4 linked regions of the Drosophila melanogaster genome follow. The protein of the gene in region 3 purifies or fractionates together with the protein of the main gene of each other region. This does not show direct contact. Each region holds a gene or a part of one and is shown on either strand. Other genes may lie near its edges.

Evidence for each region.
Region 1: the proteins of scra (region 3) and Myo61F purify together in Drosophila melanogaster (affinity purification with mass spectrometry, with the first as the bait; one large-scale study listed by BioGRID). This does not show direct contact.
Region 2: the proteins of scra (region 3) and cdm purify together in Drosophila melanogaster (affinity purification with western blotting, with the first as the bait; one study listed by BioGRID). This does not show direct contact.
Region 4: the proteins of scra (region 3) and Septin5 purify together in Drosophila melanogaster (affinity purification with mass spectrometry, with the first as the bait; one large-scale study listed by BioGRID). This does not show direct contact.

Annotation. Positions count from the first base shown.
Region 1 is NT_037436.4:1,322,632-1,330,125, forward strand, and holds Myo61F (myosin 61F), read left to right. Parts: upstream 1-1,931; 5' UTR 1,932-1,939; coding exon 1,940-1,998; intron 1,999-2,485; exon of another isoform or gene 2,486-2,621; coding exon of another isoform or gene 2,622-2,629; intron 2,630-3,363; coding exon 3,364-3,508; intron 3,509-3,569; coding exon 3,570-3,685; intron 3,686-3,741; coding exon 3,742-4,204; intron 4,205-4,266; coding exon 4,267-6,530; intron 6,531-6,592; coding exon 6,593-6,689; intron 6,690-6,769; coding exon 6,770-6,784; 3' UTR 6,785-6,986; downstream 6,987-7,494. Other genes in the region: CG9184 (uncharacterized protein), read right to left, coding at 1-71, 121-151. UniProt on the Drosophila melanogaster protein: Unconventional myosin that functions as actin-based motor protein with ATPase activity. Binds to membranes enriched in phosphatidylinositol 4-5-bisphosphate, and can glide along actin filaments when anchored to a lipid bilayer.
Region 2 is NT_033777.3:18,178,743-18,185,474, forward strand, and holds cdm (cadmus), read right to left. Parts: upstream 4,738-6,732; 5' UTR 4,605-4,737; coding exon 4,449-4,604; intron 4,351-4,448; coding exon 3,854-4,350; intron 3,792-3,853; coding exon 3,110-3,791; intron 3,005-3,109; coding exon 2,405-3,004; intron 2,339-2,404; coding exon 2,141-2,338; intron 2,081-2,140; coding exon 1,943-2,080; intron 1,884-1,942; coding exon 1,324-1,883; intron 1,308-1,323; exon of another isoform or gene 1,260-1,307; coding exon 1,175-1,259; 3' UTR 533-1,174; downstream 1-532. Other genes in the region: CG7208 (uncharacterized protein), read right to left, coding at 5,041-5,851, 5,916-6,403.
Region 3 is NT_033778.4:7,588,549-7,595,750, reverse strand, and holds scra (scraps), read right to left. Parts: upstream 5,633-7,202; 5' UTR 5,308-5,632; coding exon 5,290-5,307; intron 5,184-5,289; coding exon 4,869-5,183; intron 4,806-4,868; coding exon 3,878-4,805; intron 3,814-3,877; coding exon 3,448-3,813; intron 3,390-3,447; coding exon 3,218-3,389; coding exon of another isoform or gene 3,166-3,217; exon of another isoform or gene 3,082-3,165; intron 3,057-3,081; coding exon 2,918-3,056; intron 2,851-2,917; coding exon 2,674-2,850; intron 2,613-2,673; coding exon 2,391-2,612; intron 2,334-2,390; coding exon 1,970-2,333; intron 1,857-1,969; coding exon 1,558-1,856; intron 1,495-1,557; coding exon 775-1,494; 3' UTR 509-774; downstream 1-508. Other genes in the region: CG1360 (uncharacterized protein), read left to right, coding at 6,062-6,156, 6,217-6,484, 6,780-7,202. UniProt on the Drosophila melanogaster protein: Required for cytokinesis. Essential for the structural integrity of the cleavage furrow and for completion of cleavage furrow ingression and proper formation of the midbody.
Region 4 is NT_033778.4:7,959,633-7,963,458, forward strand, and holds Septin5 (septin 5), read right to left. Parts: upstream 2,290-3,826; 5' UTR 2,211-2,289; exon of another isoform or gene 2,151-2,210; 5' UTR 2,018-2,150; coding exon 749-2,017; 3' UTR 501-748; downstream 1-500. Other genes in the region: CG2915 (uncharacterized protein), read right to left, coding at 1-78; nito (spenito), read left to right, coding at 3,211-3,761, 3,820-3,826.

The sequences.
Region 1 (7,494 bases), on a different chromosome or scaffold from region 3:
GCTGACCAGGCTCGTCTGCAGTGGCGCCTTCTCCTGGAAACAGAGGCCGCTGACCAGCAGCTGCAGGATAACTGAAAAGGATGTGTCACTCTTTCTAGGCAGCCGATCGTCCGTACTCACCCAAACCAATCGCAGTCACTCTCCGATCCATGATCTCTCTCGGAATAACCTGACCACTCCAGTTGCATTGCCCTTTTATACGCGGTGCATCTGTGATGAGATGTGTGGGATCTCGTTCCCGGTTTCCTCATTAGAATAACCCATGCAGTGGCCCAAATTTGGGATGCCTTTCTTTCTTCTGTGTCCATCTCCATCTCCATCCCCAGCTCCAGCTCCAGCTCGAACTCGATCTCGATCTCGGATCGATCAAGCACCGTTCTAATAACTGCGCTCATTAATTTGCATATGATATAAATGCTTGTAGGGGCTTTGTGGGATCTTTCCACTTCTCATTCCACTTCCATGATCGTTCTGCCAGCCCTGCATTTTTCCAAATGAATTCGAAGAGTTCAATATCCCGCGATATTGCTGCTTGATATATGACGACATTTGAATGCAGATGAAGGTTGGTCATGCCACTGAACAAAAAAATATTCAGCAAAGCTCTTGAGTTGGCAACAAATTTTTTGGAAATATGTGCCCTTGAACTTATTGTATTATCGTTGAGTTTCCGTCTTTAGAACTTATCTTTACTTTTTACGAATGTATTTCTCCATCTCGCTACAAAGCAAATCAGCCTCTGCCTCTTGGTTTCCTATTCTTAATGCTCGACTATTTCTTTCGGTGTGCGATTAATGGGTTAGGAACTTTTTCGTTTGGGTGGGACTCATGGTTTTTGGGTTCCGTTATAGGTCGTGTGTCGTAGACATGTTTACGAGTCGTCTGATACAACAAAATGTGGAGTTCTCTGTTACATCACCCGTTGGAGTATTTCTGGATCGGGAAACCAGTTCCCCACTCTATTAGACCGCTGAATGGGGATTAAAGAAAGAGTGGATCAAGCCGACAAAAGCAACGCCCCCAGGGAACAGAAAGTCAATGACTTCATAGTAGGGAGAAACCGTGTTATTGCAGGGATATTGAGCAAAGTATAATTATAATGACTACACACTCATTAATATTTACAGTTTAATTCATTTTATATCCCCCAGCTAGTTTATCTAATCATGAAAGTATCTGTAGAGGCTTGCCCCGCCACCCAGTCAACTTTGGCAACTCTCTTATCATACAACATATACTCGTGTCAATTGGATCCCAAACAGTTCCATGAGATCTGCACTCACCTGCCCTCCAACTTGTGGATTCCTTAAATAGACGTAGCATAATCTTAGGCGATGGTTGGTTTGTCAAAAGTGCTAAAGTGATTGCAGAATGACTGCAAATGGCTGTGCCCATTGGGTGATGTATTCGTATATGGTTTTCGACATGATCGATATCCACTTCCATCTGCCCTACGTGCAATTAAACAATTATGTGACAAACATCGAATCACGGCGAGCTCGGCTCCAACGACTGGGACGTGTCTGCCGGTCTCTTCGAGAATTCCTGGGAAGTCTTCCCGGCAAACATTTCGCAATTAGTCAGGCATTCGTTCCAGTTCCACACAGCAAATCCCCTTCCAAGTGGCGCAGAGTGGATGGAAACACACAATAGTGGCGGTGGAGGCAATTGCAATCTAGTGTGTGTACTTACAATGTTTTCATTCGGCAATGACTTATTATTTAGCACACTGATAGCTGATAACACAGTGCTAATGTGAGCTGGAGCACTTTTCTGAGTCGGGGTTGTGAGTTTCGAGCTCTGACTCACTCAGAAATGTCCCGAAAGCGCGGCAGTCATCTAGAAATCTTGAAAGCATTAAGTTATAATTTACATTTTGGAGAAGCAAGTTTATGAAATTAGCTAATTGTGGAGCAAGAACTAAGTAAAGGAATTCCTTATGTACATTGAAATCAAATCCTTGATCTTCGCAATAATGGATACTAAGGACTACATAGAGTAAGCAGTGCTAAGATAAAGAAAGTGAATAGATTATAAATCATATAGAATAATTCTTGATTAGTTATCTAAAAACCAAGAAACTGGTTCGCGTAGCTAGGAGGAACCACATTATGAATCAACTGAAAACATTGGGTTGCTCGGAATGATGGGAGATGGGAACGCATATATCTTTAGGATTGACGCATGCGAAAAAGACGTATCGTGATCTCAGGTACTTGGAACTCCGGAATACAGCCGATCCGGAATTCTTTGGTGCGCTGCGTTTCTGTCATGGTCTCCTAAATCGGGTCCCGAGTTTATTCGCGAAAGGCACTATCTAATCGGGGACTGATTGGCGGCATTGCCCTCCTCATCGCAGTCATAGGTATATTATCGTTGATAAATGTGCCGACTAAAAAAAAAGAACAACACAAATTCCGACGAGGCCAATTGATATGTGGAGAGGAGAAGTATTGATGGTTAAAACGCCTCAACTGCCAGCGGATCGGTTTAGTTTGCCAACGGAGCCGTCAAAGGGCGGAATATGCGCGGAATCTGACACATCCTCCAGAGAATCATCAATTGGAGCTATCAGTGGTGTTTGTGCAGTAGTGTTGTGGAACAAGAAGAATCGAACAAACATGGCCAGGTAGAAGAAGCGTGATTTGAAGAGAATCCATCTAGAGATGTGCAATTGTTTACTCAGTGACCTAGTGAAGTGTCCTTGGATAATCCCACAGTTATATGACCAGCATTTCTTAGGAATCTTAGAAATCCTACCAGTCACAAATCCATTGCATAATCGTTTCTTTTATGGTTTTACCCGCCGCGTATCAGCAGAACTGGAGCAGTCGTCCAATAAAGCAAACTCTTACCACTTGCCCACTTCCCTTGGCCCCATGAAATATGGCATTGATAAGGTGAATTGCACCTGCCCACCATTACTTCTATGGATCTATAAATACCCCAGATTGGGTATTTGCATTGGGACTCATATAGAATATTATATTGGATATGTCTGATGAGATCATTTGGAATTGATCAACAATATCCACATTCACGAGTCACTATCATTTGCCTGATTCATTTCCGCAGGACTGTTATAAAATATTGTCGAATAGCGAAAATCTTATCTTTGGGGTTTCGGCTTTCTATGGGGCTTTTCTGAATTGGTTTTCAAGAGGTTTTTCCTAATCAAGGTGGTTAAACATGGCAACCCTTTCAGCTGGGCAGTCCGATTAGGTTCGTCAAAGATAAGACCTATGAAGAGGATTTTCTTAGGAAGTTGAAAAATTAACAATGAAGCAAGCACCAATCGTTTCTGTGGGATCTGTATTTAAGGAATCATTTTGATGCTTATGTGAACCCCTTTCTTTGCTTTAGTTTTAATTCCCAACTGAAAATGGAGACGGGCCTGCACGAGCGTGATCGTGCTGGAGTCCAGGACTTTGTGCTCCTCGAGAACTACCAGAGCGAAGAAGCCTTCATCGGGAATCTGAAGAAGCGGTTCCAGGAGGACCTGATCTATGTGAGTAAAAATAGTTAAAGAAGATAGGTCAAAATAATGATAACGATATCCCCTTTCGCAGACCTACATTGGCCAGGTGTTGATCTCCGTGAATCCCTACAAGCAGCTGCCCATCTACACCGATGACCATGTCAAGGCGTACAGAAACAAGCACTTCTACGAGATGCCCCCACACATGTGAGTCTCAAGACCAAGTTGCATTGAACCACCAAATAATGAGCATTCCTGTCCAGCTTTGCGGTGACTGACAACGCCTTCCGTTCGCTGATCGAGGAGAACCGCGGCCAGTGCGTGCTCATCTCCGGAGAGAGTGGTTCCGGCAAGACAGAGGCCTCCAAGAAGGTGCTGCAGTTCATAGCCGCCTGCTCCGGCAACCAGACGACCGTCGAGGGCGTCAAGGACAAGCTGCTAAAGAGCAATCCCGTGCTGGAGGCCTTCGGCAATGCCAAGACAAACCGCAATGACAACTCCTCGCGGTTCGGCAAGTACATGGACATCCAGTTCGATTTCAAAGGAGCTCCGATCGGAGGCAACATCCTAAACTATCTGCTGGAAAAGTCGCGAGTGGTGGCTCAAATGGGAGGCGAGCGCAACTTCCACATCTTCTACCAACTCTTGGCCGGCGCCGACGAGGCCCTTCTGCAGGAACTGCGCCTGGAGCGGGCTCTGGACACTTATAGCTACCTGACAGATGGGGTAAGTGGGCAGCCTGGAGGGTATTGACAATTGGTCTCTGATCTTCGAGTTCTAATCCACAGCTCAATGGCACCGTGACGAGAATTAACGATGCGGACAGCTTCAAGCAGGTCCAGCAGGCTCTCACTGTGATCGATTTCACCAAGGAGGAGCAGCGCGAGATCTTCGGAATCGTGGCCAGCATTCTGCATCTAGGAAACGTTGGCTTCACTGAGGTGGAGGGCAATGCCAAGGTGAACAGCAGGGATCTGGTAGTCACCGCTGCTCGTTTGCTGGGTGTAAACGCAAGCGAACTGGAAGCCGCCCTAACGCACCGCACAATTGACGCTCGGGGAGATGTGGTGACCTCACCACTGAACCAGGAGCTCGCCATCTATGCCAGGGACGCCTTGGCCAAGGCTGTCTATGATCGTCTGTTCTCCTGGCTGGTTCAGCGCCTCAACATCTCGCTGCAGGCGAAGGAAACGCGGGCATCCAGAAATAATGTGATGGGCATTCTGGACATCTATGGCTTCGAGATCTTCCAGAAGAACAGCTTTGAGCAGTTCTGCATCAATTTCTGCAACGAGAAGCTGCAGCAGCTGTTCATCGAGCTTACCCTTAAGTCGGAGCAGGATGAATACCGCCGGGAGGGCATCGAGTGGATACCTGTGGAGTACTTCGACAACAAGGTGATTTGCAATCTGATCGAGGAGAAGCACAAGGGCATCATCTCCATACTGGACGAGGAGTGCTTGCGACCAGGAGAGCCCACGGATAAGACCTTCCTTGAGAAGCTCACCCAGAAATTGGCCCAGCACCACCACTACGTTTGCCACGAAAAGGCGCCCGCCCACATCAAGAAAATCATGCTGCGCGATGAGTTCCGCTTGGTGCACTATGCCGGCGAGGTCACCTACAGTGTCAATGGATTCCTGGACAAGAACAACGACCTGTTGTTCAGGGATCTAAAGGAGACCCTCAGCAAGGCTGGCAACGGCATTGTGAGGAACTGCTTCCCGGAGAAGGAGCTGCGCAGCCTGAAGCGTCCGGAGACGGCTATCACCCAGTTCCGGGCATCTCTTAACAACCTCATGGACATTCTGATGTGCAAGGAGCCGAGCTACATTCGCTGCATCAAGCCAAACGACCTGCAGACTGCCAACGTCTTCAACGATGAGTTGGTACTGCACCAGGTCAAGTACCTTGGCCTGATGGAGAATCTGCGTGTGAGGCGAGCTGGTTTCGCCTACCGACGAACGTATGAGCTCTTCCTGGAGCGCTACAAGTCCCTGAGCAAGTCCACCTGGCCCAATTACAAGGGTCCCGGTGGCCCGAAAGCGGGTGTCCAGCAGCTGGTGAAAGATTTGGGCTGGGACGAGGAAAAGTACAGGGTGGGCGAGACGAAACTATTCATCCGCTGGCCGAGAACCTTGTTCGATACGGAGGATGCCTACCAGGAGAAGAAACATGAGATAGCGGCCATCATCCAGGCCCACTGGAAGGGATTGATGCAAAGGAGGAAGTATCTGAAACTGCGTGCTCAGGTGATCATAATGCAGAGCTATTGTCGCCGAAAGTTGGCACAGCAGGCGGCCAAGAAGCGCAGGGAGGCCGCCGATAAGATTCGTGCCTTTATCAAGGGCTTCATCACCCGGAACGATGCCCCGAATGGCTTCAATGAAGAGTTTATTGCCAACGCCAAGCGTATGTGGCTGCTTCGACTGGCGAAGGAGCTGCCCACCAAGGTACTGGATAAGAGCTGGCCCCATGCCCCTGGGCACTGCGAGGAGGCCTCCGGCATCCTTCACCGCCTGCACCGTCTCCACTTGGCCAGGATCTACCGCCTTAAACTGACGCCGCAGCAGAAGAGGCAATTCGAGCTGAAGGTCCTGGCGGAGAAGGTCTTTAAGGGCAAGAAGAACAACTACGCGAGCAGTGTGTCCACTTGGTTCCAGGAGGACCGCATCCCCAAGGAGCACATCCAGCGAGTCAACGACTTCGTGGCCAGCACCTTCGGCAGCGAGCAGCTTAAGTACCAGTCCTTCTGCACCAAGTTCGATCGGCACGGCTACAAGTCCCGCGACCGCTTTATCCTGCTGAGCAACAAGGCTATATATGTCCTCGACGGCAAGACCTACAAGCAGAAGCACCGCCTGCCGCTAGACAAGATCGACTTCACGCTGACGAACCACAACGACGACCTGATGGTCATCCGCATACCGCTCGACCTGAAAAAGGACAAGGGCGACTTGATTCTGATCATTCCGCGCATAATCGAGTTCAGCACGTATATCATTGACACCGTGGGAACTGCCTCCATCGTCTCCATTGTGGACAGAAATTCGTAAGTTGCACATCGGTTATCCCAGTGGTTTTCTCTTGACTAAGTGTTGCATTCGTTTCCAGGTTGGAGCACAACGTAGTCAAGGGCAAGGGCGGCGTCATCGACATCCAAACCGGCGCCGAGCCCGGAGTGGTTCGTGATAAGGGCCATCTAGTTATCGTAAGTAGTGCGAGCTCCAGCTCCTCATGAGGAAACGCCCATTATCGTGCTGACCTCACACACCAAATATTTCTTTTCAGATTGGAACGCAATAAGGAATTTACTATGACTTTCTTCAGAAAAGTGGCTTTAAATCAAACGACCTTGTTTTGTTATATTCGTGTAATTTATAGTGTAACTATGTATTTTTGTTACTGCAGCACCTGAGAGTTGTGTATTCGGATTTTATATGACTAATGTTCCAACTAAATGTATATTGTTTAAAAATACATATAAATATATTACAATTTGTATATGAATTGGGTTCTTATCACTAACTTGTGGTTTTTCAAAGAGGAAACGTGGCAATTTTTCTAGTCTCTTATATCGTTTCTTTCAAAAAGAACCGCCCACTCGATTGGCAAAAGCAGCAGTCGATAACTTTGCTTTGAAACGTCAGTTCGGTGCTCCAGACTTTAAAAATCTCGTTAAAGTCGTGCCCAACTCACAAAAGAAGATTTCAGCTAACGTTACTACTGAAATTCATGTGAATTAATATACCACTAACAATTATTTAACTGTAAATTATAGTTGGGAAAGTTACTTACTCATTATTCAAGTATTAAGTATTTTTAGTATTTATTTGCGTAAGTTGAGAAACAGCTTAGTACATTGCGCATACGGTCACACTGCTACCTTGCTGTCTTTTTCTTGCTCCAGCACTTTTACATAATCTTGAAAACTCAGCGTAAATATCGCCCAAAATACGAGACCTGCACTCGTGCACCGTCTGCAGAGATGCGATACTAACCCGCTGCGTTTCCGT
Region 2 (6,732 bases), on a different chromosome or scaffold from region 3:
CATTCATGCCACATGCCACTATTATACACACATACTATATAAAACATGTTTACTACTCCACGACTCAAATTTGCAAATATTGTACGCTATTTAGCCTAGCAGTTAGAGCAGCATACCCATAATATATTTATATGAAACAAATCGCCCAGCAGGACACATAAATTGTGGTATGTATGTGCGTGAGTGTATTTTTGTATGTACTACCTATTAAATATAGAAATATATATATATATATATGTGCGGAGAACCGTGTTCCTGAACACCGATCAAAAGGAATTAGGCATTTTTGTTTGTCCTGGACTGGCCGTGGATGATCCTGCGGACCGCCAAGGAATAGAGATGTGCCAATTTCTGGTCCACCAAGCACAGTTGATAACCTATAAGCATCCTTACAACGTCACCACAACAGACTGGGACAAATTGCTGGTCGTAGCGTCTACTTCTATACGTTAATCTATATCTATATGTTAAACTGTAATTTTGGATCCGTGTCAACCAGTCGTTTAGTTCCATAGTCAAGTCATTACCGGGTCCGTTAGACAAGGATTTATGCAGATACTCTCAACTAATCTAGAATCTAGACAAAGGCGACGAAGCAGATCAAAAGAGTTTTGCTACCACTACCAAGTGCTGTACACGCCAAAAACGAAAGGCTTCAGTTTAGCTATAGACACAAATATATATATATATATATATATTATATAAAGAGATGTATTTACATATTTTTGGCATTATAGATACATACACAATGTGGAAAATTGCAAAACAATAATATGGGTGGAGAGGTAAAGGGAAAGTAATTCTTAGAAAGGCAGATTTTTTCATACAGGAAACGGTGAAAATCAAACTTTTCAACATAAGAATTAAACATATATATATATATGGGAAAAACAAAAACTATAAAACATTTACTAAAAGTGAAAACAATAAATGAAAAATGAGTTATACACCCTTAAAACAATATATATGTGCAAATTGTAAATGGAGCATGTAATTTTGTAAAAATTATAAATAAAAGTTTATCAAGTCGAGAACTTTTGAACTTAAGTTAAAATTGGAGACAATTTACAGAGCTGACGGCCTATTTAAATACAAACTAAATACAATTATAGAAACTAGATCAAAATCCGGATGGATAAAGATGTCATTTGGCCACTTATTGCATACACTCATTTCACTGGAACTTTTCTGTAAGTCCTCGGGTCTTCATTGCCATTTCCGACAAATGTTGTTGCAATAACCTCTTGTTGACCTTTTCCCTGTGAAAAAATTTATAAAATTAATACAATCTTTAAGGATCTATATATAAGTAACGCCTCTCACTTGATTATTAGAGCAGTGTAGCGCGTTTTATCCGCGTCGGTTATGAGCTGTGTGGGGAAATTGGGAGTGGACATTAGGGACTTCATCCAGACGGCCATCTCGGCGGCATATTTTCTGTTCATGGCAAGAAGGATGTCTGCAAACTTATCCACCTGCGACCGCGGCGTTAGGTAGCCCACGCACATCATCGCCGTGTACAGCGTCTGCTCGCCGGTGGCCAGGACAACTTCTGTGACATGAGCATGGTTACGCGACTGCATCACAAAGTGGGTAAGAAACTGTATGCTATTTCGGATGGCACCACTCTCCGGCAAAGTCATTCCACGCTGGGCGTAAAAGACCAGACGATCGTAGGCCAGTGTCTTGTCCTCCAAAACTTGAGGGATTTTCTTAATGATCTGCGTCAGACAGCCGAAGAAGGTTTCCATGGTGTCCGAAATGTTGGAGAAGTTCTGCTCGGGAGTGCTCTCAAATAGCTTAAAGCTGTGTTGGATGAACTCCCTCAGAAGTTGCTGCATCAGCGGCTTGCAGCCTTCGTCCTTAAAGAACATAACAATGGCCTGAAACAAAGGATTCTATTAGATCACTCAGTCATTTGCAATATATTGGTAAGGCTCACCGTTTTGGATATTTCTAGAGTAGGAGCGCAGCATCGGGTCTGAAAGCTGGCAACAATGAAGAGACAAAGATCCTGCAGCATTGGCTGGAAGCTGCTCCTTAAATTCGTTATCGCATGCTTCATCGCACTGCAAGCGGCCTATATGAATACGATAACATTTTATTAAAAATATGCAAAATTTTGTGTTTATTGCCTTACCTCTAGGACATCGATCTCCTCCACCCACATCTCGGCGATTCTCTTGAAGATGGGCATCGTGCGCTGCATGACGAGCAGAACTGGCTGCACAATCGGTTGGTCCGTCGCCTGCTCGTCCACATCCGTGTTTAGCGAGGAGAAGAGAGTGGAGATCATATTGAGCCGGAAGATTGTGCGAATTCGAGCAGCGGGAGTTTTCTAGTGCAACAAAAGAAATGGTTAGCAACTGATCTCTTTATATATTTTATATTTATATTTACTCACCGAATCTGCCTGGCAAATGGCCTGTAGCTCCTCGAAGCAGGGACTGACGATAATATCCAAGTATTTGGGTATTTCCTCTGGCCGCAGCAGGCTCATTAGCTTACCGATGCTGAACATAAGCCTCACCGAATCGGAGTTCTTCATGCGGCCCGTGTTTAGGGAAGCGTGGCATGCGTTTAGGAGCGGATCCGCATACGGCTTCAGCTGCAGCTGACAATCGCGACACAGCTCCTTCAGGCCGAGCGTCGCCTGTGCTGACATTGAGGAGTTGAGGCCGCGCACCAGTAGGTTAATGGCTGGCGGAATGTACGCCGGATTCTCCATCAGCCAATTGCAATAGGAGCCCATTGTCTCTAGCGCAGTGCCCAGTAGCTTGACATTGAGCTTCTCGTAGGGAATCTCGGCCAGCACGCGCATCAGCCGTGGTATTTGCCGCTTCTCCTCGCCACCAAAGTGCTCGGCCACCGACTGAAAGGAATAGATGCACGCCTCCAGCTTTGTCCAGTGTGTGGGATGTCTTTGCAGATCGGCAATGGCCTCGTCCAACATGGCAGCCAGAATCTCCAAGATATAGTCATTCAACACATCATAGCAATACATCTAAAATAAATAAAATAAATGCTATATTATGCCTGTTTGTTAATAGTTGAAAACGGTAGCCAATCCTTTCGATTTGGAGACACTCCAACTGTTGCAACCACTCACAAAGGTATCGGATATATCCTGTCTGTAGCACCTAAAGCATTCCAAATCATCGGAGCTCCACTTGGCGAGCGACTTTTCGTCTGGCTGCTCTGACTTTCTTACTAAAATCCTGGTTAGATGGGCGTACAATGGTTTGATGTACTCCCAGCACTTGTGTTTCTGCTCATCGTTAGACATGGCGAACACTTCGTCTTGCAGCATATACCAAAACGCCAAGGCCATTGTGCTGCAGGACTCCTCCACCGGGTAAATGCCCGGCTTGTCCGTGCAGTGGAGAATCTCCTGCACGATGCGATGCACTAGGATAGACAATTCCGGATCCGCGGACGTGATGCCGCTGAGCAACAGCGTCGAATGTCGCTCCACCGAAGAGACGAACAGCATGTAGATATGTACGATAATGTCCTCGTTGTCGTTCTCCCTCTTCCATTCCGTCTTTGTGATTTCGGATAGCGAGTCCAGGAACATTTTTATAAGCACAAATGCCGTCTTTGGATAGTTGTGGCAGTCTGGCTGGATGATAATGTTCACCATGGTCTTCAGACAGGACTCGGCCAGTTCGTTCTCATCGGCGGTCATGCAGCCGTCGCCGGCGTGTATGCAGGGCCAATAGCACTTGTGCACCACTTCCAGGAGCACGGCGGTGATGGTGACGCAGCCCTCAATGGTGTAGCCGATGTTTCTGTCCAAGTTGGAAACTCACTTAGAACGTGTAAAGAATAATTTTGTAAATTGAATACTCACTTGATCCAGGTGCCGACGCACTTAACGGCCCTGTTCATGTTACTGTACGCCTCGGCATCCCACACGCGGTTCATTTGCAGCTTCAGATATCGCTCAACGGTGTGAATGACCAACTGCACTCGCTTGGCGATCTCGGCGCGCAGAACAACCCGCTTGACAGACGTATGTATGACCTGCGCTTCCTCGGGAATGGCGGTCAGCACCTCCAGCATGATCCACAATTGCACATCGGCGCTGACATTTGGCATCCGTTGATTCTGAAACGTGTTGATCACCTCCTCGATGGCGCCGGGCCATTCGCCCAGCATGTGAACGATGTAAGCGCCCAGCGAGATGCACAACCGATTGAGGACGATCTTCGGTCCGCCAGCGAAGCGAACGATGGATTCGAGTATCTTTTGCTTTAACTCCTCGCGATTCTCTGGCGGCACTTCGTGCCAGTGCTTCATAAGCTTGGAGTGCAGCGTGATGGCGCCGAAGAACTGCACCTCCTGACTCTGTGTGGGCGGTGGGGTGATTGGGTGGGCGGTAGGTGCATGAGTATACATATCCGGGTAATTGATGCATTGATGCGCAGGTCCTGCGTGGTACTCACCTTGCCGAGCTGCATTAGCTGCCAGGAAAACTGCCAGGCCTGTGGACTGGCCTCCGCATCGGTAAGCCATTCATGGGTGATCGCCTGGTTCTGCGAGTTCGAGCGGTAGAACGACACGACCGCCTCCTCCAGACGCGCAATGTCAATGGGCTCCATGTGGAATGGCTGCTGCTGCTGCTAATGCTGCTGCTGCCGAGAGGCAGTCTCCTGTCCGCTAATCCTCGGGTGGTGGTTTTCTTTGCTTCTGCCTGTGGGCACTGGATTCGCGAGTGTGACCAACGCGCGAAGTCACCAATTCGCGGACGGGCCGAGTGTGCGGTCACTCCATTTTCGACTTTGCCGCGCTTTTTTTCCTCCTGTATTTTTTATAAAAAGTGTTGAAATGTACGTATTTAATAATAAATAAATATGTAATATAGTATAAATTGCTTGTGGCCTATATGCTCGATATATGCAGGAAAAATTCAATTTATAACAACATTTATTCATTCGTACACTTCATAAAATTTTACTATTTCTATTTAGTAAATACTCTCTGCAATTGAGGAGTATCTTAACAAGTTAACAGTGAATTTGGAAAGCCCAAAAAGTCCTATATAAAATCGAATTTAAGTTGCCAGAAACAGTATCGCAATTTGGAACACCGGTCGGCGATGAAATCCCTGCTATCCTCATCGATATACACCTCAATAAGGACGTTGTCGCAGAATTGAGCGACCTGCCTCTCCACGTCTTGGCAGTCCAAAGTGGAGCGATTAACGACGGCCCATCTGTCGGTATTCAAGCCCGGGTTCTGTGACTCCAGTAATGCGAAGATCACACAGAGCGACTTATTCGGACTGACCAAGGGCAGGACAAAGGTCGTCCTCACTAGATCGAAGAACTTAATGAAGGGCTGGCAGGAGTGGGGCGGCTCCACACCTTCGACTGCTTCGATGACCCATTGGGCCGTTTCGTTATCCTCGCAGACCACCAGCATGTTGCAGTCGAATGTCTGCGTTGAGGCACACTCACTAAAATTGAGATCGCTGACGCTCGATCCACTGTCCTCGAATATTGAATGAAAGTGCTCCATTAGGGCGATAGTGTCCACACCATCCGAGCACGAACTCTGGTTAGTTATCACCAAGGCGTAACGTCGGTTCTCGGGCATTGTGTTCGCATACGGCGGCCGAGTATCCCTCTTGCGACAATTCTTTGGCGTGCAGCAGTCCTTCTTCCTCTCCTTGCACTCCTCGGCCTGCTCCACTGAGCAGCTTGTGCGGCTGGTCTCCGTCTTGCAGCAGTTCATCAGGTGGATCTTCGAACCAAATATGGAAGCCATGCTGCCGGCTCGTTTGTCCGCGAGCAGATTCTGCTGCGGAACCACCTTGACCACGCTGTTCTCTTGGTTGCTTCGTATTCTGTGAATGAATCAGTTGGGTATCCCTATCATTTACATATATAGTTATTACACACAACACACACCTTTTGGCAGCCGATTCCTCATCGGAGGCGCACACTCTCGTCTTTCGCGCTACGGAGCTGGCGCTCGTGCTTGCGGATTCGAAGCTGGCGTTCGTCTGGTTCGACGCACTGGATGCGGAGGAATCTTGCGAGTTCGAAGCCTCGCAAAACTGCGGAAGCCTGTCCACTGGCAGAAGCATAGAGCTCTTCGGCATGTTAAGGAAATCCAGTTGGCTCTTGCCCTCTGGAATTGTATAGAATTGGAGAAATCCTACAAAGGAATTTTCGTGGTACAGCGAAAAGGCTGTACCATTAAGCGTTGTCGACGGATAAGTATAATCGCTTTTATCCGGAATTCTGAGCAAATTTGTAATAAACTCATCGTTTTCCAGAGACTTGTGAAAACTCTGTACGTTTAGGCGAGCCAAGGGAAGACCTACTTTTACCTCCAGTTTTTGCTTCAATTCACCAATGGTCGCATTATTGTGGAGCTCGAACATTTCCGGCATCTGTATGGGATTGAGAAATGAAAATATGTATTTATTAAATTTAAGCTTCAATTATTATAGCTCCATTTATAAGCCACAATTGTAAAATATGTGCGGGCTTAAGATAACTGCATACCACACTTGTGTTTCCCTCGGCATCTAATTTCACTTTGACGAACATTTTATGTAAGAGAAGATATTAAAACTTGAATTAACAATTGGTAATATACAAAATAAGTGTGTCTCTCAAAATAGAATATTCAAGATGTTGATGCGCTTTTTTATTGGAGAATCTTTAGAACCGTTATGCCAAAGCTTTCGTTTTACAGTATGCTTGGCACTTTACGACA
Region 3 (7,202 bases):
ACATACATATATACCTATACGAGAAATATATATCTATACATTTGATAGTGTTGTGAACTAGAGGAACCCACACTGAACACTCCGCCGGCGGCAATGCGTAATCCACTTTTGTAGATAGCCTTTAGGCCGACCTTTAGGCCAAGTGACAAACGCAAGGAAGTTACAATCTTCCACCCAGAGTCAATTGAGATGGCCAAGGAGCAGACACACTGACTACCTGACATGAACCACCTACACAGTACAGAAAACCTGGTGCCGAAGCCGAGATGGGCACTAGAACAGCCGGCGTCGTGATAACACGCAAGCTTTAACTTTCACTTGTTGTTAGATTCCGGATGGTCAGAGATAAAAAGATAGTTAACACGCGGAAGCCACGTAGCGATTTCTTCTTAGCCACGAGTTCTTGCAAAACGATATACATATGTGAATGTAAATGTGTACTACGTGTATAAAAGTATTCAATAAACTATATTAAATAATCAGTGTACAATTGGCGTTAGTTCTTTTTACGGGGGTTTACACATATATATTTAGCGAGTCATCCTAAATTAAATGTACATAAGTAAAAAGTTATGTCGATATAGACGAACACGAACGTGTCCCACTCCAAGATGGAAACGAAAAATTTGAATTGGAAACATAAAACAAAATTAATACCAATGCGAACACGATTAAAATAGCAAATTGAGTAACTTAAAAAGAGAAAACTGTTAACAACCCGCCCGTTTGTGGTCATTGTCCGTGCTGCTGACAAAATTGCAATGGGTCAGCGGGTCAGTGGGTGGTTCCCCAGGCGCGCAGCAGTGTCAGTGCCTTGTTAAGGTAGGCGCACCACTCCTCGCGCTCCTCCTTTGTGTCGGCTGAGAGCAGATGGCGCACCGTGGTGGTACGTCCGTTGGGTACGATTATCAAGGACTCTTGGTCTGTCTCCAGCGCCGGCCGTTCGCACTCCAGCAGCATGGTGTTGAGACGGGCGCAAATGTCGCGCGGTGCCGTGGTCACCTTCTGCGAAGTGCAGGAATTCAGATCTATACTACCCATTGGCGTCTTGCGCTTCTCATCATCCGGGTACTTCCAGTAGTTGATCACGGAGCCATTCAGATAGCACCAACGACGATGCCATGCCCCGAAACCGGAGATGTCTTCGAACATGGTAAGGAATCCCTTGTACTCCACGCTTACGGATAGTTCGCAATTGACTTTCATGTGAACCACACCCTCCAGTGGACTGACGCCCAGCACCTGGGTCAGCGTCCATGTGGTGCGTTGAATTTCACGCAGCGAGAAAATGGCAAAGCCGTATTGCACCAGCTGCGGTGTCCGTACCACATGCGGTCCCGCCGGACTTTGTACTGGCGGCATCACCAGTCGATTCTCGCCGCCCTTCTTCTTTGGCGTCTTGATGCCACCCTTCTTGTTCAAGTTGATGTGGTATTTCAGCTCGTGAGGCAGCTGATCGCGTTGGGCCAACATGCCATAGATTTCTAGCGTGATCTGCAGACGAAGTTTTCGCAATAAAATCGAATATTGGCTAAAGAAGCAAAAAGCAATATTTACCCTGAAGTCAGCATATACATTGTTTAGTTGCAGGACATCGGGAAACTTGACAGACAGCAGCCCTGGCATCGTGGGTACTGTCTTGGTGGCCAGCACGTGCTCATTGTACTTCAGGAGGCACACAAGATGATGGCCGTTAATGTTGTTCGAGGCCATTTTACGCACGTACTCCTGTCGCAGTGGAATGGTTATGTCCTTGACCGTCAGTAGGCCCTTTTCTTTTGGTGCACCCACCGGACGAATACTGTTCTCAACTCTTAAACGCTGGACTTCATCCAAACACGCCTGGCGTCGATGGGCTGCAAGGATATTAAAGAGATGTTCAGCTTAATTGGACATTCAAATTGCCAATTCGGTTTGGAATTCAACGAACAGGCAATTTATACTTGAATACACTGAAGATCACACTTACTTGCAAGAAGGAGATATCGCTCTCCCTCCACGGACTCTGTGGAGCCGGAGAATTCTACGGTGGCAGCACAAAGGTTGAGGGCCTGACTGGCTTGTCCTATCACCTGCTGCTGCTTGCACACCTCGCTCAACAGCTTTTTGATCTTGTCTTGTGCCTGCGATGCATCGTTTACTTCCCGCGCATTCTGCATCTCTTCATCGTCCTCGTCGGTCTGATCAGCTATGTCAGTTGCTGCTGCGACATAATCAGACTGCTGAGGAGAGTCGTACTCCAGTCTGTGCTTGGCATGACAATCGCCTGCTAGGGCTGATCGCATGACCTGCTGCTCTCGACAGATCTTGCGAACCGGTGTGGAATTGGAGCTCTATAAACAACGAGTACTTAGAATTTGTTAGTTGTGATATATAAGTAATCAACTCACGTTAGCGCTCTGTTGGCGGCGATAGAAGCTGACCGTGTGCACCAGGGTAACCAGGTTGTCGTTGTCCTGGTTGACACTCAATTCAGACTTGACCGGCTGGGCACCACTGAGCAGTGGCGTCTGCAGGTCCATCTCCATCTCATGGTGCTCTTCGATAGGCGTGCAAATAGAGGCAGGATTTTTTCGGAAGGAAAAGCTGTTTGAGGCCGTCGTTCCTTTGCTCTGAAAATGTAATTAAAGAATTGTTTTGATATACGAGGAAACTTAATCAGCAAGTACTCACGCCCAAGGACAGCCGACTGGCATTTTGCTCGTCCCCGCTGTCGCTCTGGTCATCCTGAGTGCTGCCGTAGTCCTCGACAAGTGCTTCATCCAGATAATCATCGATGCCCGCTGAGACCTGCGACGAGTTCAGAGAGCTGTCATCGTAATACATGTCCTGGTCCGCATAGCGCACAGTCTGGAAAGGTGTGAAATCGTGTTAATGGTGACCACCCGCTGTGTTGACAGTTTTTACCTGCACTTACCTTCTTGCCCGTCTGCTGCTGCTGCATCTCCACTTCGTTGCGCTGCACTGCGCTCATTATCTCGCGGCCAAGACTGCCATTGCACATGCCGGCGCTACTGTCCTCAGTCTGTGACTGGTCGTCGGACTCATCCATGCAACTGCACGAATCAAAGATAAACGGTTAGTTAAGAAAGCGATTTTATTGTTGGTCTTGTCTAGGGGATGGGGTTTAAAGCTATGTCTCTTAGGCCTATCAGTCTTGGAATGCTACTCGATGCAGAGCAGAAATAGCAAGCAGGAATAGCATTTTTCAGCGCACCTTTCGGTTTCCTCCTCGTCCTGTTGATGGCTGTCATCCGTAGCGGAGGCAGTTTCGGCGGCGCAGCAGTTGTCACCGCTGGAGTCGAGGTCGGACAGGGCGGGATACAGACGATCCGAATGCGATTTGCGGGCTCGCTTCGAATCCTCGTCAGTGGTGGGCGCATCACCAGCTGAAATTGCGGATGTATAAGGACAAGTCCTTAGATAAAGGGTTTAGTCATTTCTTACGTGATCGCCTCTTGCTGCTGGCCAGTCCGGGCGAGAGAGCAGCGATGGGCGGTGGTGGAGGCGGTGGCATGGGCCGCACTACTCTGCTGGGAGCTGGCGCGGGAGGTCGAGCTTGAGCAGCCACAGAACTATCGGATGGTTGATTGTCAAAGAGCTCCTTTTGTTTGTTAAAGCGATTAGAAATAATCTGCATGTCTTCCTGCCTTTGGCGATCAATGTCCTTGATACGCGTCTCTGCACTTGATTGCGCATTTGCCACCAAAGCGGCCACCTTGTCACGCAGCTTGTTTTCCTGTTTCGGCTTGGTTGCTGCAACCACGGTAGTAGCTGCGGCAGCAGTCACCGGATGCATTGCAGCTAAATGTTCTGTTAACAAAAAAAAAATGAGTATGAGTAGCTATTATGAATATAGAAGGGCTGCCAAACTCACGTTTCACCTCTTCCGCTCGGATTTGGGTAATACTGGGAGCAGATCCTATTGGCGCCATCGGCAACATCGCTTTGTTGTTGCCCGTTTCGAACAGCTTCATCCGCTCCTTCAGCGACAGCTCACAAGGATCCTTCTGGTTGCGTAGGCCTTGCGACTGTCCTCCGGTTCCCTTGTTTTCAAAGAGAGCCGCCCGTCCGGAAACCAAGCCGGACTTCACACTAACAGCAGGCGCTGGTGCGGGCTTAGGCGCTGGGGCGGAAGATGCAAAGTTCTTGGCGACCTGGCTGACCGTCGTTGATTTCTGCGGCACTGGCGGCTTGGCAGTTAATACCGCATCTTCCACTTTGGAGGCTGGGGCCGCCTCTTCCTGTTTGGCATAATCATATGTGTGTTTAATGGTCGATGATTCGCGGCGCTGAAAACCTTGTGCCTCCAGAGAGCTCAATACCTTGGGATCCCACTTCAGCTGCTTGGTCCTGCTTGCCTCGTCGACTTCATCCTTCTTGGGTGGCAGTGGAGCTGGACCCTTCTCGGCCCTTCGACTGGACAAATGCGGTTTCGGTGGAGGTGCTTCGAGCAGTCTGTGCACTTCGTGGTGCGACGTGTCATCCTCCCACTGATTGATGGTATCCGCCAAGGCGGCCAGTTTGCCCAACCGTTGTTTTGGTTGCCTGCTGCTACGGTTGCCGCAGTCCTCTTCCTCACCCGTTGTCACATGGAACTGCCCCTCGGTTCGGTGGATTGGGGAGGATAGATCGTCCGTGTTTGAGTACAGGGCACCCATGCGTTGCAGTCGGCTGCGGGAAGTGTCCCTTAGCCTGGCTAGGGGCTGGTTTACTGGTTCCGCCTCCAGCAGGGGATTTAGCGCACCTCCTTCCGCCTGCTCTTCGTCATCTGTCACCTCCTGCTCCTGAATCTCAACTTGCACCTGAAGGTAGTGCAGCAAGGATGAGCAAAAGGGAAGAACCCAGAAAAGAACGGGAAAACTTACCCCAATTGGCTTGTCCGTGGTTATGTTTATCTCTATGCCCATATCCAAGTTTTCCTTGTTTACCGCCGTATAGTGACGCAGCGGCTTCGCCGGCGACGCCTCCAGCGTGGCCTTTCCCAACGTAACGACCTTGCCGCCGCCGCTAGCCGCGCTCTGGCCTCCAGGCGACCGGCTCCTCGGTGCCAGGACCCCAGCATCCCCGCCGGATGCGGAGGTGGCGGAGGAGCTTGGAACGCTGCACTCGACGAGCGGAAATTTGCTGGCATTGCTGATGCCAAGGGCGCGACTGCGCTGTTCCGCCTTCTCGAGCATGTGCTGCAAGGGAAAATGGGAAATAGCAGTGAAAATCCGCGGGTGCCTTCACTAACACCAGTGCAATCACCAGACAAAGGGCTTTGCTGTGTGCGAATTGGCCTCGTACCTGAGTAAACGGGTCCATTGTTGTTGCTGCAGCTGCAAATGCAAATGCGAGTTGTGATTGCGCGCACTATGCTATTGAATTCACTGTACTGCTCGACACTCCACGTTGGCGATATTTGATGTTTGTTTTTCACTGGCGGGTTGCGCGTCCGTTTGCATTCGAAATTCTGCGCGTCGCTTCTGCTCGTTTCGGCGGTTGGCTTTTCAGATGTGTTGAATAATTTCAAAACGACGCGCAAATGCCATAGGACCCTCAACTGACCACGACGAAATACCGAAATTGGGGAGAAAATGCCAGTGGTGAGTTGCCAAGGGCTGCCACTTTGTCGTATTTGGCAGGGTGGCAGCTCTGTCGCACATCAATGGTTAAACCGGTTCACCAATCACACATATTTACCGGTTTAATTTCGGCCGACAGCTGTTTATTTTTCTTAAAGCGTTATCAAAAAGGGTTTTTATTGATGTTATAATATGAATATCCAACCGTAATTTACCACGTATCACTTTCAATATTTATCACGCATAGCTGGTAAGTTAAGAACCTGGAATTAGGCTTGAAATGCACCTTTGATTTCTCTGGTGAGCTGCACACGTTGTGCCGTCAGTGCTGTATGTTTTGGCTAGAATTTTGGCATGTTTCCTCTATTTAGGCTACCTCTTTAAGTTTGGCTTTTCTGTTGGGGTTTCGTTAATTAATGTAGGAAAACATTTCTGGAAATAATTACGCTTAAATATATAGAATTTGTTTTTTCAGTAAATTGTCAGCGTCCGCCATGAGTGACCAAAAAACAGTAAATTTGCTGTGGAACTGTGCCTCCAAGCTGACCGACCAAACCCACACAGAACGGATCCTCAAATCCTATTACATGTGAGATCCGTTGTCAATTCCTTAAGCACCCACTAAAATTTCGTTTCCAAAACAACCCAGAACCACCTGTAGGAAGCTGGCCCGGCACAATGTCCAGTTGCCCGAGGAGAGCTTTGGACCCGCACGCATGTGCTCCCGCTGCGGGAACCAGTGGACAGGTGGCCGCTACCAGCTCCACCTCCAGCCACAAGAACTGATGCAGAGTGCTAAGAACCGGAGACTGATCACCAAGCTGGAAGCCGTGAAGGGCAAGATGGCAAAGGGCGAGATGAACAGCGGGGCCAGGAAACGGGCCAAGTGGCTCAAGAAGCGTATGGCCAGTAACATGGTGAGAACCAGGAGCTAATAGAATGTCTAGAATATGTCTAGATTGTGGGAAAAAATACTTTTATTTCTTTAATTTCATAAATATAAATATAATATCTCTTTGCTTCCATGGATGAATGGTATAGATGGATAGTTTAGTACCTTATAAGCGCAATATAAATTTATGTATCAAGCTTCTGGGCAAATAATAATTTAAATTAACACCAAGGAAGCTGAAAGATCTTTATACAGTGTTTTGTGTGTGTACATATGGACCCATTCCTGCCACTCTAACCACAACCCAATTCATTTTGCAGGCCGTGGACTGCGATGTTTGCCATCACAAGACAATGTTGGCTCTGGAGAAGAGCCGAAAGCGCGCCAAAGTAAAAGCCACGGAGGAGACAATGGTAGTCACACAACCTGCGCCAGCGGGCCAAAACAAAAAGAAGGCCAAAACGAAGAAGTCTCAGGCGCCGAATAAAGATATCAATGCAGGCCTGAAAATGCAGCAAAAAGCGCCTCAGCGACAGCAGCAGCCTTCGAAATCGCCAGCTCCATCCAAAAACGCGTCCCAACCAGTCGGCATAGCTTCCCAAAACCCAAGTCAGACATCGAAGAAGAAAAAGAAGAAGCCTGCCCAGCCAGCGCCCACCGCACCAAAAACGCAGTCCAAAACCCAGAAGCAGAACGTACTGCTGCAAATAGCTGCCCAGCTGAAGTCGAACGCGTTTAAAGAC
Region 4 (3,826 bases), 370 kb from region 3:
TGCCATCGCTACACACAGAATGACTAACCATTGCGTTCCGATCCGCGCTGCTGGCATATTTATAATTTTGTTTCCCATTTTTCCACTTGGCGTGCCAGAGAACGAGCGAGAGGCGGCGAGAACAGCGGAGAGCTAGCTATTGCTATCGCTATCAGCCGGGTCCACATCCACAGAAGAAGCGGCCAGCGGAAAGGGCTGAAAAACCTGAAGTTCGTTTACAGCTGTTTCGACTAATCCAGGGTTTCCAAGCGATCAAATTTCGAAGAGACATATGCGTTATGACCGTCATAAAACAGTTCCGCGAAAAGTATCCCATTTAATTCATATTTAGTCTGGTAATTACGATATTTAGGGCTGGATTATAGAGAACGCTGTCCAAACATAACCTTCATTATGTACATACATACATACATATGTAAACGTTCTATATTTTGGTATTTTTAAATTACTGAAAAATGTATACTCTTTTTCATATGCTAGACATATTCGCATTCAATATTGTTTTTTATATTTTTATTGTATTTAATTATACAACTAAAATTACTGGAACTCGTAACCTAAATTAAAATTCTTTCAATATAATTTATTTATAAACTGTTTAATTGGAAATCATAGATCGTTAAAATAAAAAGAAATAAAATATCAAAATTAGTATACTTCTTGGTATAGGAGTGGAGTCATAGGTAAGGTTTGTAGAAATTTAATCGCATAGGCAGTTTTAGTAAAATCGAAAACATTCTAAACTTAACTACTTTTTCTTGCCCCTGCCCAAGGTGAGAGTGTGCGAACCATTGGCCATCTGGAGCCTACGACGCTGTAGCTCCTGGCAATCCTCTTCCAGCTGCCGACGGGCCTCTTCCAGTTGGGCCTTTTCCTCCAAATGCTCCCGTTTTAGCCGGTCGAACTTAGTATGCAATTCCTTCTCGTTGTCCTTCAGCTCGTTCTCCTTCTGCTTGACCCGCTGAACGAACATTTGGCGCACTTCCTCCTCCTTGGCCTGTAGGCAAGCCAGATGGTCGGATCGCTTCGACTCGAAGGTCTGTTGGAAGGAGACCGGCTGGTTGTTGCTGTCCACGTCCACAAAGCCCATTTGTTGTAGGCGCCGCTGGCGGAAGAGCTCATAGTGGCGTGTGTGAGTCTGTTCGCGCAGATCCTCCATGTTAGTGCGAATGAGCATCTCGCGCAGCTTCACAAAGTCGCAGTGCGCCTCGTTTTCTATGTGCACCGCTCCCCATGGATATTGGCGGGCACGAACCTGCTTTCCGGCCACCTTTACAAACTCCGTACTGCCAACAACGGCAAAGGGTAGATGGCCGTTCATCGCAGCATTTGTTTCGGACACGGTTTCGTCGTCCATGGGAAACTGGTATATGCTCACATTGTTCCGCCGTAGTTCGTCCATTATGCGTTCCTTAAACCCCGACAGCTCCGACTTGGAGATGGTGTCGGCCTTCGCGATCACGGGAATGATGTTCACCCTAGTGTCAAGCTGCTTCATGCACACCAAATCCATAGCTTTCAGACCATGGCCCGTGGGACAGATGAAGTACAGGCAGGCGTGAACGCGTCCATCATGAGCACTGGCCATCGCTCGCTGGATCTTGAGCTCTTCCTGCAAATACGCTTCAAACTGGCTGTCCACGTACTCCACCAAAGCCTTGTAGCTGTCCGCTTTATTAACCTGATCTCCGTATCCGATCGTGTCACAGACGGTCAGCTTCAGGCGGACGTTGCTCTCCTGCAGCTCGTATGTATTTGCCTTCAGCTTCACATTGGGCAGGTTGTGCGGGCTCGGTGTAGATCCAAAACTGGTATTGAACAGTGTGTCCATGAGAGTGGATTTCCCGAGAGCGGTCTCGCCGATGCATAGGATATTGAAGCTAAAGCCATTCTGGACGCTCTTGTTGACCAGCTGGTCCGGTAGGGTGTCGAACCCCACGTGGCCGCCGAGTTGAAGGAGCCTGGGGACTTTGGTTGCCACCTCCTGCGTCTTCTTTTCAGTCACTAAATGAACCATTTCGCCAGTGCTTTCGTTAGAATAATGTCACGACCCAGCGCAGGCGCCACTCTTTATACCCGGAATTCTCGTATGTGCAGCCTGTGTAAACCCTAGTCGTTTTTCTTAATAAGCCATTTGGATTTTCCTGCATCTGGTGGCGTACCGAGAATTAAACTGTATCTAAGAGTTTTCTACCTGTGATTCCTTTTACCTGCAGCCTTGACGATTTTAAATGCGGTGCCCGCCTCAGTTGTCTATCGAGACAGTTCTGCGCGACTATATCGATTAAAGCAGCTTCAACTAACATTTATCAATTGCAGTTAAACAACGATGGATTATTCGATCAAAATGAATTTTATTTATCAGAAAGATAGTCTTGCGACAGTACATTTTATATATGATTTCTGGACTATGACGCCACGGCTGGCTCGAATGAAGTCCCATCTGGACGTATTATATTCGATGACTTTTTCCAACATTTGTGGTCATATATCGGCAATAACACGGCAAATGTTAAGTCGGTCGCGATTTTGAACAGTAATGCCAACTTAAAGTTCTCCACCTCATAAAAAAATCCTTTACAAAACGTATATCGCGTTGTCTTAATCTCGCGTGTTTTAAAGATTTATGATCTTAAAACTTAAAAACTTTTATTGTTATATCTAAGTTCGCCGAAATATATTACAGAAATAGAAACCTATTAAAAACTACATTGAAATTATATATGATTATAACTATGTCATTATATAAAAATGAATCAAACGTTTGGCTATAAAATGGACAAATATGGCTCGATACCATGAACGGGACCATCAATGGCGATAGCAAACACGTATCGTTATCGAATACCGCAGTTAACTTTCGACGCATACAGAATTTGCAAAGCCGGAGGAAATTGAAGAATTTGTGGAATATCCGCGACTTAATAGTAAACTAGCACTTAAAAATAAACATCCAAAAAAGCCGGAAGTGGTAAGAACTCTAAAAACGATCTGAATTGCTCTGATTTTAGAATTTTTCCGCCTAACGCGATTTTCTTTGTTTGCGGGGCGCCGCCATTTTCTTTTTACCTGACCGCCGCTTGTCTTCTTGCATTTCGCCCGTACTTTCACAAAGCAAATCTCGAATTCTTCGCAGAATCCCCGGAACTAAATTGCCAGAAAGTTCTCAGGCAGCACACACCGAGTTAAAGCGCCCCGGAATAGCCGCCCATGAGTAGTCATCGAGACGGAGCCGGAGCCGATCGTATCACAATCAAAATTCACAACATGAAGCGTAGCGCCTCGCGCTCCCCGGGCCCGGCCTCCAGGAGCAGTTTGTCGCGCAACTCGCGAAGCATGGGTCGTGGGTACGACAACGGCAGCGGCGTGCCTGGCGATTCGCCGGAGCGCCTGTCGCCGGAGCGCATGCGACGTCGATTGGACCGCTCGCCGAGTCGTTATGGCTCCCCGCACCGGGAGCCCTACATGCGTGGTCCACCGCCTGCAGAGCGACCAGCTGGCTACAAGGTACTTTGCGTCAGTGCCCTGCCGCCAAAGGCTCCGGACGATTTTATCGAGGAGACACTGTACCGCGAGTACAAGAAGTTTGGCGATTTTAGCGTGCGACTGGCGCACGACTTGGATGAACGGGTTGCTTACGTTTGCTTCCGAACGCCTGAAGATGCACGCGAGGCGAAGCACCATAAGCCGCGCCTGATCATCTACGACAAGATGGCCATTGTGGAGCCGGTGTACAAGTCCACAACCAGACCGGAATATAGGTGGGATTTATTTTTGTATTTATTTTGTTAGCCTTGGCTAATCTAAGATGCTTTGCAGACCACGC